2 linked regions of the Pelodiscus sinensis genome follow. The protein of the gene in region 2 interacts with the protein of the main gene of each other region in a pairwise test. Links are inferred from orthologs where the notes say so. Each region holds a gene or a part of one and is shown on either strand. Other genes may lie near its edges.

Region 1 (7,245 bases), on a different chromosome or scaffold from region 2:
CGCCACTTTGCAGGGAGGCGGGGGAAGCGCCGCGCAGCCGCCAGCGACGGGCCGGCTGGGGAAATTGTGTTATTCTGGGGATGGATGGTCGTGTAATTCAAAAAACATTCCCTAAAAAAAATCATGCTATCGCAAAAATGTGTTAAGTGGGCACGTGTTAAGTGAGGAATTACTGTAAATGATTCCTTAACCATTCAAGAGCTCTCTCCTTTTCTTATCATTATATTAGACCTGCTTGCCTCGATTGGAGCCAAGGGCTAAGTGTCTTATAGGGATTGTGTTTAGTTTCTTGTTAACCAGTGTGATACCATAGAAGTTCTTTTGCTATTGGTTCACTGACTCCAATATAAAATAAACCATGGTTTTGGGGATTGTCTACAGTGTTTCTTGCAGCATGCGCTGAGTATGGCACTCAGTGTGGCCCATCTCAGGCATCTGCTCAGATGGAGCTACTGTAATGAAACAAAAAATAAATGCAACATAGGGACGGAGAGTTAACTATAGCCTGAAAGCAGAATAGCAAGTTTTTTAATCCTTAGAAACACTTTCACCATTCACAGTATTCTGCATTAAAACTCACATAAGTAGATTTAATGTTCAATAGCATGAAGGTTAGATAAAGGAGGATTTAAATTTCCATTATCCATCTTAATGGATTTATGGCTCTAGCCCCAAGATGCACCAACATGCTTACATAACCCAAAACAGAGGGAGGACAGCATAACATGTTTTTGCATTTATTGGCTACAGAGTATTAATATAGAATCTTTTTCAGCTGGTCACTAGTGTAAACAGCAAAATTACACCATTCCCTACTAAGCCTATAACTGTGAGCAAGTTTGACAATAAGAGGAGGACTCAGTGAGTGATGGGAACCAAACCTGCCTGACAGGCACCACCTAGAGGTGAACAGGACAACAAATATTTAATTAAATACAAAAGAACACACAATGCAAATTTGATTAGATACTTCAACAGAAGTTCTTGGAGAGTCCAATCTGTAGATATTAATATTACTAATTTCACCAACTAAATGAGCACTACTCAGCATGGGCCAGTTTCACATTATTTTAGCTCATGTTATGCTCTGTGTCAATTATATTTTAAAACTTTCTTGTTCAAGTTATGCATTATTTCACCAGTTTAATTTTCAGTACTGTAGCAATTTATTTTCTTTCTAGAGAAAAAAAACAGTCATTGTTAATTCTTCATTTTCTTATTTTCTAATGATATTCAAGTGCTATTCCAAGTCCAATCTATAGCAACAAGGAACCTTTCTGTTTTGGCTCCTTTTTTGAGACTGAAGAGTAATTATATTTAAATAAATTTGATTTTAGAATTATTCTAAAATTACTTGTTTTTCAAATTTCCCCAGAAATGATCATATAATGAAGCTTTTTTATGTTTTCCTTTCAATGTGTATACATCTTCATAAATACTGTGCCTTAGTTTGCTTTGTAATACCAAAAAGTAGCTGAAAATTTATACACACCCCTTTAATATCCATAACAGCTTCCCTCCTCACTTACTGATGTAGCAGAAAACCATGATGATTGCAACTTTTTGAGCGCAGGAGGTGTGCATTGTTTTGGTTTATTTTAGGACTCTAATACTCAATCTACAGAAGAGAGTCATAATCTTTGCATAGAAAAATAAGATTTGAACAAAATCATGCCCTGCAAAGCCAGATAGCTTTCTCCCCTCCAGAAAAGCCATTTTCCCCCATTCATTAGTTCCACCCCAAAAAAGGAAACAAGCTTTTAGTTTCTAACCAGTTTCTTTCAACCTAGAACTTAAGAAGCAGTTTTGTTTCCTTCTTTTATCAACAATTAATTGCTAACAGTCGCGGTGCTAAACTTCAAGATTCCCGCCTGACAGCAGACATTCTTAGTTTCAGAAACTCATTTGGGAGGTGGGGGAGATTCTCACTCCCCTTTAGCTATTCACAGCTCACCAAATTCAGAGACTTAAACGTACACATTACTCTTCTCAGCTGCAATGTGAACGCAGGGTAGAGCCACGCAACGTTCTGCCTTGGCTTAAACACATTCGCTCGGACTTCAACCCACTTCGGCAAGTACTGAGTGCACTCCCGCAGATTTAAAGAGCCGGATCCTTTCTAGCGGCTTCACCCTCGCTCGTACCAGGCAGGTCCGATTCCGAGCATCTTTTCTGGCCAATAAAAGCCGCAAACCGGCCCCACGTTCGGCGAATGCAGCGCACTGGGAACCGACAGCGGCTACAAGCTGCCGGAAGGGCAACGCCGGGCTTCCCACGCCAGCAGCCCCCCCCCCCCCCCCCGCCCGGCGTTGCCCCGGGCCGGAGCCAAGCCCCCCCCCCCCCGCCCGGCGCTGCCCGGGCCGGAGCCAAGCCCCCCCCCCCCCCCCGCCCGGCGCTGCCCGGGCCGGAGCCAAGCCCCCCCCCCCCCCCGCCCGGCGCTGCCCCGGCCCGGAGCCGGGCCCCCCCGCCCGGCGCTAAGCCCCCCCCCCCCCGCCCGGCGCTGCCCCGGCCCGGAGCCGAGCCCCCCCCCCCCCCGCCCGGCGCTGCCCCGGCCCGGAGCCGAGCCCCCCCCCGGCCCCGCCCGGCCCGGCCCCTCCAGCCCTGCAGGCGGCGGCCGGGACGAGTCCGGCTCACACGCTCACTGGCGCTTGGGGGCCCGGCCCGGCCCACTCCCCGGGACCTGGGGGCGGGGCAGGCTCCCCTGGGCACGGGAGGGGCGGGACGGGCCCAGCTCGCTCCCGCGACAGGGCCCCCCGGAGAAGCCGCTCTCCGCCGCGCGGGCCCGGGCAGGCAGCACTTGCCGTAACAACTTACCCGCCAGAGCCGGGTCCCGCCGGAGCCTGTAGCATCCTCCCCGCTTCGGCCCCCTCCCCTCGCTGCTATAGCTACGGGGCGCCAAGGCAACCAGCTCTCGCGAGAACGCGCCCAAATCCTTCCTCGTTTCCGCGAGACCCCGCAAAGGGGCGGGAGAGAGCGCGCCCCGACCACCCAGCTCTCGCGAGGAAGCGGGCGAGACCAGAGGCGGACCTAGAGGAAAAGCAACTGCGTAGAAACCACAACATGGCGGCGAGCGGCGCGCGCAGTGGGCGTGGCTACCGAGGTGAGGCGCTGAGGGCGGGAATGAGGAGGCGCCTCTGACCCGCCTCCTCTGTGTCGCTCTCGGGATCTGAGAGGCGAGGCGGGGGCCGCATGTTCCCGCCCAGGCGCCTGCCACGCCGCGCCTTTCGCTCAGCGTCCTGTCGTCCGCCAGGTCCCTTGGCGGGGCCGGGGCGCAGCTCCGGAGGGGTCGCCCTGGGGCGTGTCTCCCCCCCCCCCCTTGCAGCCTGCTGGCTGCCTTCCCCCGCAGTGTCTCCTCGGTGGGGGTGGCCTTTAAAAAGGACACTTAACAAGGCTTAGTCTCTTTTCCCAGCAACGCGCTAAAACGCTGCGTCTAGCCTGGCCAGGTTTTCCGGAAAATCAGCCGCTTCTCCAGAAAAACCTGCCACTGTCTGCACTGGCCGCCTGAATTTCCACAGAAGCACTGACTTCCCACTGCAAGAAATCCGCGCTTCTTGCGGAAATCCTGTGCTGCTCCCCTTCGGCAAAAGTCCCTTTTATTTTTCTGTAACAGTCTGAGCATATTGGGTCAAATTTTGCCCTCATTAACATCCACTAAAATCAAGAGGGTTGTACAGTATGTAAATCCAGGCATAGTTTGTATTACTGACTTTAACTACATTTTAAAATGAATGATTAAACAGTGAATAGTTGTATAAGTGTTCTGACAAGCAAACTAATTTCAGACTAGAACTGGAAACTTGCAGATCCAGATTGCTAGAGTCTGAAATTGAAAATGTATTGGCAGAAGAAAGGGGATACTATGCATTAATTTACTCAATTTTAAACAAATGGTTTTTCTAGCCTGGAAATAGTGTTGTAGTAATATTAATAATACTTTGTGTTCAATGTGTCTGAAAATTTCAAGCTCTTTACAAATCATTATCTCTATGCTATAGAGCAGTGTTTCCCAATTTTATTTGGCCATGGGACCCCTATGGTTTCCTTACCAAAAAAAGCCCTGCCACCACATTTTGTTGAGCAAAAAAAAAAAGCCCTGGTGCTGCAATTCCTGCTAAATAAATAAATTAATGGAGATTGCCTATCTCCTAGAACTGGAAGAGACCTTGATCATAGAGTCCAGTCCCTTGCCTTCACAGCAGGGCCAAGTACCATAACTGACAAATATTTGCCCCAAATTCCTAAATGGCTTCCACAAGGATTAAACCCACAACCCTGGATTTAGCAGGCTAATGCTCAAACCATTGAGCTATCCCTCCCCTCTGCAGCTCTGTCTCTTTAAGAGGGGGTGATGGAGTGCTGGCTCTTCACAGAACTCTTGCTTTTGTTTTGTGGAACCCTAAGGTTCCACAGAGCACCAATTGGGAAGCACTGTTATAGAGTAACTGAGGTGTAGAGACAGGAAGTAACTTGTTTATAGTGATAGAAATGTAGCCGTGTTAGTCTGGTGTAGCTGAAACAAAATACAGGACTATGTAGCACTTTAAAGACTAACAAGATGGTTTATTAGGTGATGAGCTTTCGTGGGCCAGACCCACTTCCTCAGATCAAATAGTGGAAGAAAATAGCACAACCATATATACCAAAGGATACAATTCATATGTGCTCATTTTTTTTAATTGTATCCTTTGGTATATATGGTTGTGCTATTTTCTTCCACTATTTGATCTGAGGAAGTGGGTCTGGCCCACGAAAGCTCATCACCTAATAAACCATCTTGTTAGTCTTTAAAGTGCTACATAGTCCTGTATTTTGTTTTAACTTGCTTATGACTGGGATAGTGAACCCAGGGCAGAGCTAGGAACAAGCCCTGGCCCTCACACCCAAACACTAGTTCTGCAATTCTCATATTCTAGGAAAGCAACAAAGTGCCCAGCAGAGTGCACTGTGTTCTGCTTGCAATACTTCTATTCTCCTTTGCGAGCAAGGATGGCTTCTATGCTCAATGGAACTTAAAATGATTTTTGTGTTTAGGTAATGGAAGGGGAGATCATTTTCCTTTAGGTCCCTGTGGATTTATACTTACTGCAGTCAGGGCCATACCTAGGCATACACAGCTGCATAGGGCACCACAAAGTTTGGGGTACCATAGCCCCAAATGTTGTGGTGCCCTTCGCAGTTGTGTGCTGAATATGCCATGGTACCAGCAGTCAGCCCCGTCTCCCAGCCAGCGCCCCCCCCCCATGGACTATACCCAGTCACCACTGACCAGATGGTTCTCCTTCTGGTGGAAATGGAAACGATCCAGCTGTGCTGGTGTCCCCAGCTCTGTCTCTGACCTGCAGCTCAGATAGCACGTGGCATCTGCACCTCCCACCTGCTTCTTCACCAGCCTCCCTGCCCTGCTCCTGTCCCCGGCAATCCTGGGGCTGCCTTCCACAACTCCTGCCCCCACAAGCATGCAGTCCTTGAACACAGCTTCCTCAGGGGGTGGCCCCCCCATGACCAGCCTCCGTTTGTGGGGTTTGTGAGTAGCTGCTCAAGCTGCACAGAGCACCACAATTTGTAAGGAAGGCCCTACTACCAAACTCCAGGATCAAGTTCATTCTCCTGGAGAACTGATTTCAATTCCTGCCCATTTGGGAAGCCTGCTCACTGACTATGGAATGTTGACTGCTTAAAAATAGACCATGTCTGACAAGTAACAGGCTATTTTGTTTCTGATGCTCCTGACATATTTAGCTAGAGAGCATCATGCATTTTAGCTCTCAAACTAGTTTAGTCAGTATAGTATGTTGATCTTAATGGATTGTTCACTTTTTACTCAAAGGACTGAAAATAAACTAGTTTAGCTAATCTGTCCATGTTCTTCTATATAATAGCACCCTACATGCTCTTTTTTTATATATATAAAGGGAGGCAATAAAGAGCAGGTGTCTATTTGTAGGGGGGAAGTTCTACTTAATGGTGACACCTGGTTTCAGCAAGGTTCATGCTTTTTAATCCCATTTTTCAACATAGAGAATCTCTGTATTTCGAAGGCATTTTAACACAATGTAGCCCCAATTAGAGCTATGGCCTCAGGATGCAACCAAAATACAAATAATAAACAGCAACAACTGGAGAAGACAGAAACCTAATTAAATTAAGGGCTGTATTCTCAAATGTACACAACTATCTTGGTGTTATACTGAAGCTGTGCAGAGAAATTGATGCAAAAGAGAATGCAAAGTTGATTCCAACAGCAACATTAACTCACATTGTAGCATCACATATTACAACACATTTTCCAACGTTCAGTCATGTTGGCACAATCTTTATAGTGCGGGTGCTGAAATCAATGAACAAAACTGTAAATCCTCTGTTTATGATGGAAAACAATTCAAGCCATGGGTGTTTTTGTCCCCAGCACTCTTAGATCCAGCACCTCTATCAATATTAATGGATATGTACTAAGCTATATATCGAATAGGAAAACCAGAAGTAGGAAAGGGTACATGTTAAATATAACTGAGTTCACATTGATCTTGGAACTTAAATTTTTGCCTTTTTGTGTTTTTAAGTGGACAACCTTAAATTTGAGGTAATGCAACTTTTTCTGCATTTAATTTCTTGGGGATTTTTAAAGAAAAAATAGAAGAGAAAAAAGTTTGAACAGGAAAAACAGAGGGAAAAAATCCAGAGATATTCAGAACCTGTTCTGACACCCTAAGATTCACCACTGTCGTATAATTAGGATGTGTTTTGTACAAAGTATGTCTTTTGAGGTATAATTCTAAAAGTCTTCATCTGGACGATATCTCCCTTGATTGCACATGTTGTTGTATGTAAAGTTATGAAGTTTGACTGTGTAGATGTTACTGAAACATGCTGTAAGCTTCAAAATGCCTACAAGCAGGCTTTCAGGTACAGCAGTATAAAGGTCAAACAATGTTAATGCTTATTGAGGAAATGCTCTCACACGCAAGGATTATCCCAGGAACTGCTGGCAATAGAAATCTTTCAGAGATACCATTATACAATGTGACCTGTTTGACCCTAGTCACAGCAAAAGAACTTTCTAGCAAATGGGAAGAAGATATACAGTAAAACTCCATTGGTCCGGCATCCAATGCTCTGGCACTCCTGATGGTCCGGCACCATAGGGAACCCGGAAGTGCTCCGGGCAGCGGGACAATTGGAGCTACTCTGCGCCCGGCTTCCCCGATTCAGCCGCTGCTGAAACTGACCAGCAGCTGAATCGGGGAA
Region 2 (7,038 bases):
GCACATCAATTCTTTAGCACCAGAGGCTGTTGCTAATCCCCTCCTGGAGGAGCTAAATGGTCTCTTTGCTTTTAGCCAGCCCCAGATCTCTCTTACAGGGACTGGAAGAGGATGAGACCAGGAGAGGCTCTGCAGACGGTGTGAAGGGGGAAAACGGGACACCCAGGCCTCCCCTGACCTTCCCGCCCCCCCGGCACTAGCCCTCCTCACTCACTGCTGGAAGTGCCAGCTGCTGGTGTCTCCAGCCGGCCTGGGCCGTGAGTGCAGCGTAGTGGGTCCGCTGCTGAGCGCGTTCCCCGTCCCAGCGCCGCCTCCTCCCCCGCCTCCCCGCTTCATTCACCCCTCCGGCAGCCAGCCTGACCCAGCCCGTACTACACGGCGCAGCACGGGCCGGCCGGCGGCGCTCGGAGCCCGCACACACCCGGCGCCGCGCAAAACTCCAGCTGCTCTCGCTCGCCTGCGCGCCGGCTAATGCACCCGGGGCAGCCGCGGCCAGAGCCCGGCAGCAGCCGAGCGAGCCTGAAAACGCCACCTCTCCCCAACGCGCAAACACACGTCCGCTCTCCTCCCCGTTGCGCGGGGGGGAGGTGGGGGGAAGGAGGTTGACTGAAAGCAACCCAGACCCAGGGGCTACGGCTGTCTCCGTGCCTGTACCCCCTCCTTCCCCCTGCCTCCTTCCCCCCCTCCCCCCGGACATTGCTTGCATGCACGGAGTGCGATGCATTCCAGCCACCACCCCCCCCAATGTGCCTCCCCTCCCCCCAGGATCGCCAAGCCATTTTCTGGCCTCCAGGCTTCCCAGAGCTGGGGGGTCGGGCCGGGCTGCAGTAAGGGAGGCTGAAGCACCCTCTGTGGGGTGGCGAGTGCAGTCCACTCCCCCCCCCTGTTTCTCTCCAGCTGGAAAGCACCGGGGGGGGGGGGGGTTCCAATCGAAACGAGAGAAGCAAAAAAAAAAAAAAAAGCAGAGAAGGAATAAAAAGCCACTTACTGCCAAGTGTCAGGGGAGATGGGGGCAGAGCGGGACTCCACATACACACACACACACACAGTCTTGCTAGCTGATCACAAGGCGAGGGGGGGGATGTTGGTTTGTTTGGTTGCTTTTTCCCTCCTCCTTCCCCCTGCAGTGACACAGGTCCTGGATGTCTCCACCACTGCCTGTAGTAGAAATGATGTCTGCGGTGCAGCGCTCTCTCCCTCTTCTCTCCAGTATGTAAATGTGTAATAGAAGCCAAATATGGAGCAGTTGGCTGCCTCTGCAACAGCTCAAGGATCCTACTTCATGCAAAAGGGACGGGGGAAGGGAGGAGAAGAGGAGGAGGAGGCACGGCAACACTTTGGCAGGCGGCCAAGAGAGCCACACAGATTATTGCATACGCACCACAGAGCCGGGCCAAACCAGGCTTAACCCTTTACAGGGCTTCTTCCCAGTTTAGAGGAGACGGGGATGTGTGTGGAGGGAATTGCAGGGGGGTGAGGCTGCCCCCCCCACACACACACACACACTCTAAAGGCAACGTTTGCCTTCAAAAGCACAATTACAAAAAATACTCAGCAGCCTGTGGCTCAGGACCCCTAAGTGGACCGTGACCCTGGTTTAATGGGTCACCTGGGCTCAGATTATACTTCCTGAGGCCAGTGCTGAAGCACAAGCCACACTGCCCAAGGCTGAAGCCCTTTGGGCTGTGTCTTCCCTCCCCCAGCCCCCCGCACACATGCACACACCAGCCTGAGATGGTGGGACTCAGGCAGACCCATATGGACGATTGGTGGTGGCAGGCCCTTTGCTTTGAGGAGCCCCATGGCGGCCACCTCAACCATCCTATGGACAGGAGGGACCGGGGAGCCTTGTGCAGGGTGGGCAGCATGGGTCACCCCCTTCTCCCGCACTCATCGCAGCAGCAGGATTCAGAGCAGCCCAGCAGCCTGCTCTGCTCCACAAGGCTGCACTGTCCCAGCCAACTGTGCTCTGCTTTTCAGCAGCAGTACGAAGCAGACTGCCCTGGCCCTAGGGCACTCTGCTGCCCACTGCCGCAGAGAAGCAAAGCACAGCAGGCTGGGGGCGGAACAGGCTGCAGGGCCACTCTAGCTCCCACTTCCAGAATGAGTGGGGAGTGACTCCTGCTGCCACTCACGGGAGGGGACAAGTGTGTAGAGCAGGGGTTGGGCTCGTGGAATGGACAGGGTGGAGCCTGCAGCATAGGGGTTGCCCTGGGCTCCACACTTGGGGCAGTGGGGGAGGGATTGCCCCAGGCTCATGCCCCCCCCCTCCTCGTCCGGGACAGCCCTGGGCTCAGACTGTAGCATTGGTCCCCCTACTCAGACCAGCAGGGCTCAAGCAAGCTCAGGCTTTGGTTCCTGGAATGTGTACTAGTGCAATGAAGTTTGAAAACCCCTGTGCTACTCTAACGCCTCATGTCCATGGGGATCTCATAGCACTCTGTCAACAATAATGAAAGTGATCAAAGGAGAGCCTGCTGGAGATGCCTGCATGCTGTCCTTTGGAAGTGGCAGAGAGTGCTAATTTAAGGGACTGCTGAAGATCAGCCACTCAGTGAGGAGTTGAGGGGGTCATTTTCCTAATTAGTATTATTCCTCCAGGGACAAATCCTCAGTTCCTATTGGAGTTGCTTGGAAAAAGATGCCTACCACCTAAATCAAACCCCAAATGACTTTTACTCAGATCCCTTATTACACGGCAAGAACACAGGCAGATGTGGACTTTGTATAGCCAGATACTTTTAGGTGTTGACCACGTTCTGGACTCCCTAATACACACTATGCAGATTACACTTATCCTGAGGCTGAACCTCTTCCAACTATTCCCCCAAGTAAAGCAATTTACCACTTACCTCTCCATGAGGCTCCGGCCTCCACTTGTTCCACTGTTCTGTTCCCCTCAAGAAATGACACAGGCCTCAGCAGACCCATTACTATAAATCGCAAGCGGTGGGTGGGAGAATAATATGCTCAGAAGCAAGGAAGAACCCAAAAGCATGTCTTCTCTGTTAACTCCCTGGGCTGGATCACTCCTGTCTATGATTTCCAGAAGAAAACAGAAGAGAAAGAAACTTGTGACTTCAGTTGACAAAGAGGAACAGAATAGCAAAATTCAAAACTAAAAATATTCTTGAAGAAGTGACAAAATCAAGTTCCTTACCTCCTAGAACATTAGGACGCAAGGTGGGAGGAGGTATGAAGGCAGTGGGTCCTGAAAGAAACAATGTCTCTGTGCCTGAGCATCAGCACACATGAGGACATAGCATGAGAGCGTCTCTCTTAGCTGACACACTAGAGATTGAACCAGGGAACCTTCAGAACTAAAGGCATAAGCTGATACAGCTTGAGATAAAGCTCTGTGTTTGAGGATATAAAGACACATGCCTTTCTAAATACAAACAAGCTAGGCAGTTGCCTAGAGTGACAGATTTTGGCCTGTCTGTCCCCTCCAGTCATGATGCTGGGGTAATTGGGCCAAGCCTGAGAGGCACCATGACCCTGTGTGCCAGGTCACTATGCCACTTGCTCAGATTTGGCCCAGCTGCTCCTTCATCATGATGGAGGGGTAGCTGGGCCAAATGTGACTGATGTGTAAGGTGACACACTGACATGTTGCTTAGGATGGAAGAACAACCTTGGACACTTCACCTCTGGATCAGCACAAAGGGAGACTAGGAACAAAGTTATCAATATCAGACAGGTAGATTAACTAGTGTTGGTCTGTATCTGAAAAAACAACAAGGAATTCTCTGGCACCTTAAAGACTAACATTCATCTGGACATAAGATTACTTGTCAGAGGCATACTTACCAGTGTGTTTCAATGCCAGGGTTGCAACATACCCTCACAATGCACAAGCAGTTTCTGATGAAAAACAAAACCATTCAAAGTGGGCAATGGGACAAACCAAAAATGTGATCAGGTATAAATTTCTCCTGTATACTATGAACATTATGCATATGCTGCAGGGTGCTGTGCTGGGCCTTGTGGGATAGGTGCAATAATCCACAGGCCATGCAATGCTTGTAAGGAGTGCTGTGCATGGTCCCAGAGTAGTGTTTGTACCCAGAATGGGATGACTACTGGTGACACTCTGCAACTTGCACCAGTTCACTTACATCTGGACAAGTTATAATATGGCACTTCTCTAGTGTAGACACGCACCAGTGGCTACATGTAAAAAAATGCATGACTCTAAACTGTCAGTTTCTGTTGATGGGTCTGCAAGGTAATTCCTTATACAAAGAAATATGCGGTATATTTGTAACATAATAGCTGAAAAGATTATAATAAAAATATTCAAAGAGGCAATGGTTTTGATCAATAGGCAATAGAATAGTGTATACCATATAAAATAGATTTACAAGGCATAAGGATCCTTTATTATTACAATGACTGAAACTTTAGTTAAGAGTCCATATGTAACCTGATGACATTTTCTGTTTAATGAGATCTTTGGGGAAAAGAAACAGCAACAGGCCAAGACATTTGGACAGACATGCAACTCAGCACCTCAAAGCAGTGAATCTGCAACAGCAGCAGCAGAGCAGACAGCAACATCATCCTCACCCTGTTAATGCAAGATTCATTGATTGAATCAAAGGCAGGGAGGGAGAGAGACTGTGGATTACTGAAAATCAAGTGAAAGCATTAGTCAATTCTTAAAGTGATCTGGAAAAGTGTAGTGTGGGGGGGAAAGGTATATTATAATCTGGGAGAAGCAGCTTTGGGGGGGCAGTGGTTAAAATGCCCCCCACAGTGATCTGGCTTGATTAAAACAATTTTTTTTATTGACTGGGTCTGCAATCCCTTGCAATCCTTCATCCCATAAACACACTTTAAAGCACTGCCTCTAATGATATTTCAGCCCCTTCAGCTGGACACAGTTTTGAATGTGCTGTATTCTCCCGCTCCCGCTACCTTTTTCATTTCTCTAGTTCAGGGTGTTACTTCAGCAGAAAGGAATCTCTCATTCTAATATGTTCACCTTGCCAATAGGTGTGGCACACGCAGATAAAAAGTAGCCACATTCAAGCTGAAGCAAACTCAGAGCAACCTCCTCCTTTGCAGCAGATGAATGTGAGTCCGGTGTACACCTCTATTCTTTAGCTGCACAGTTTGCTGCAGAAACGCCAGGACCGGCCCACAACATTTTGGCAACTGAGGCGGGGAGCTCAAATGATGGCCCCATGCCCTCTTGCTTGGGCCAAAACTTTGAAAGTTCTCAATTCTGCCTTCTTCCTGTTTTACTCCTCTCATGATACTGCACAGAGAATACATATGCACCAGCAGCAGACACAATTTTCTACACTCTGAGTCCTAGGGTATGTCTAGACTACACCCTTCTGTCGCCAGAGGGATGTAAATTAGACATGCCAACATTGCAAATGAAGCGGGGATTTAAATCTCCCATGCTTCATTTGAATAAAAATGGCCACCGCGTTTTGCCAACTCAGCAATTTGTCAGCAAAAAGCATCTGTCAAAACGGGGATCGGGCAACAAAGAAAGCCTTTGTCGGCCAATCCCTTATGCCTCCTAAAATTAGGTTTACAGCATTGGCCGACAAAGGCTTTCTTTATCACCCGATCCCCATCTTGACAGCCGCTTTTTGCCGACAAACTGTTGACTCGGCAAAATGCAGTGGCCATTTTTATTCAAATGAAGCACGGGAAACTTAAATCCCCGCTTCATTTGCAATGTTGGCATGTCTAATTTACATCCCTCTGTCGACAGAGGGATGTAGTCTAGACATACTCCTAGTGTTGCCCCCCGCCTCCCTACAGTTTGACACCTGAGGCTGCCGCCTCAGTTTGCCTCATGGTAAGATCAGTCTTGAGAAACTCTGCTGCAGAATTGTGACTCCAGCTCTTAAATCTCTCAGTATATTTCTAGACCTCATGACTAACGCATAAATTGATGCAGTGTTGTCTTCCTAAGTCTGCAGACAACCTTAAAGCAGCTTTTGGGAAGTGCCACAAATCGAAACTGCTAGGTAGCAGTAATTCCAACAGCTCCTTACCTAGCTGCTGCTCTTTCATCATATTCTGAGAAATTCTCTAGGGCAGTTATAAGCTGTCATCACAAAAACCTTTAGCATACAAAAACCCCAAAATAGGAAGATTGCTTAAAGTAAACTGAATTTAATATTAAAATAAGCTATTGCACTAATTGCATTGTTAATTTTGATATTTGATGTATTACACAGCTACATTAAAAAAAAAAGCTGCAGCAGAATTTCCAGCCTCCACAGCAACCAGGAACGTTGCCACAAAGCACATGTCCAAGTTACCACGAAGTACAAGAACCCTTAATTAATGCAGAAGAGCTGGGAGACAGGGACATAATGTGACCTTTCCAAACAACTGGCACAAAAGGCCGGATTAATCCTTCAATCTTTATTCAGGCAAAATGCCCTATCGACTTCAGCTGGGAGTTTTGATAGAGTAAGAAGTGCAGACCTCAACCTCAAGGGAGGCAGAGTCATTTGCTTCAGAAAGTGAATGTTAACTACTCCAGGATGAAGACTTAGGGTTTGCTTCTCTGGCTCTTTGGAACTTTCTATAGTTAGTACTTCAGAGGAGTAGCCGAGTTGGTCTTTAACAGGAATAACTTTAAAAACAACAAATAGACTAGTCACTAGTAGCACCTTAAAGACTAACAAAACATGTAGATGGTATCATGAGCTTTCATGGGCACAATCCACTTCTTCAGATGACAGGAGTATTAGTAGTCCAGATCCAAGAATAGAATTAATGGACACAAATCAGATATCCAAAAAGGCAATACACAAAAACCTGTTGGAGGACACTTTAATCTACCTGGCCACTCATTAATGGATCTCCAAGTCACCGTTTTATTTCAGGCCAGTTCCACAAGCCAAATACACAGGGAAGGATTGGAACTTAACTTCATTTACAAGTTTAATTCTTATGCCAATGGTATAAGGACATCAGCTGGCTCGCACACTATCTTCCACATCCTATGACTTAACCTAACAACGAAACAACGGAGGTGCTAATTGTTCTTATCAGCCTATT

Evidence for each region. The genes of interacting proteins can lie anywhere in the genome.
Region 1: the proteins of ATXN1 (region 2) and USP54 interact in binary tests that used the Homo sapiens proteins (3 or more experiments, as listed by UniProt). The link is inferred for Pelodiscus sinensis from reciprocal best matches to the Homo sapiens genes ATXN1 and USP54.

Annotation. Positions count from the first base shown.
Region 1 is NC_134718.1:3,916,574-3,923,818, reverse strand, and holds the start of USP54 (ubiquitin carboxyl-terminal hydrolase 54), read right to left. Parts: upstream 3,011-7,245; 5' UTR 2,815-3,010; intron 1,998-2,814; exon of another isoform or gene 1,978-1,997; intron 1-1,977.
Region 2 is NC_134712.1:107,835,971-107,843,008, forward strand, and holds the start of ATXN1 (ataxin-1), read right to left. Parts: upstream 3,010-7,038; 5' UTR 2,853-3,009; intron 1,311-2,852; exon of another isoform or gene 989-1,310; intron 669-988; exon of another isoform or gene 422-668; intron 364-421; exon of another isoform or gene 215-363; intron 1-214. UniProt on the Homo sapiens protein: Chromatin-binding factor that repress Notch signaling in the absence of Notch intracellular domain by acting as a CBF1 corepressor. Binds to the HEY promoter and might assist, along with NCOR2, RBPJ-mediated repression. Binds RNA in vitro.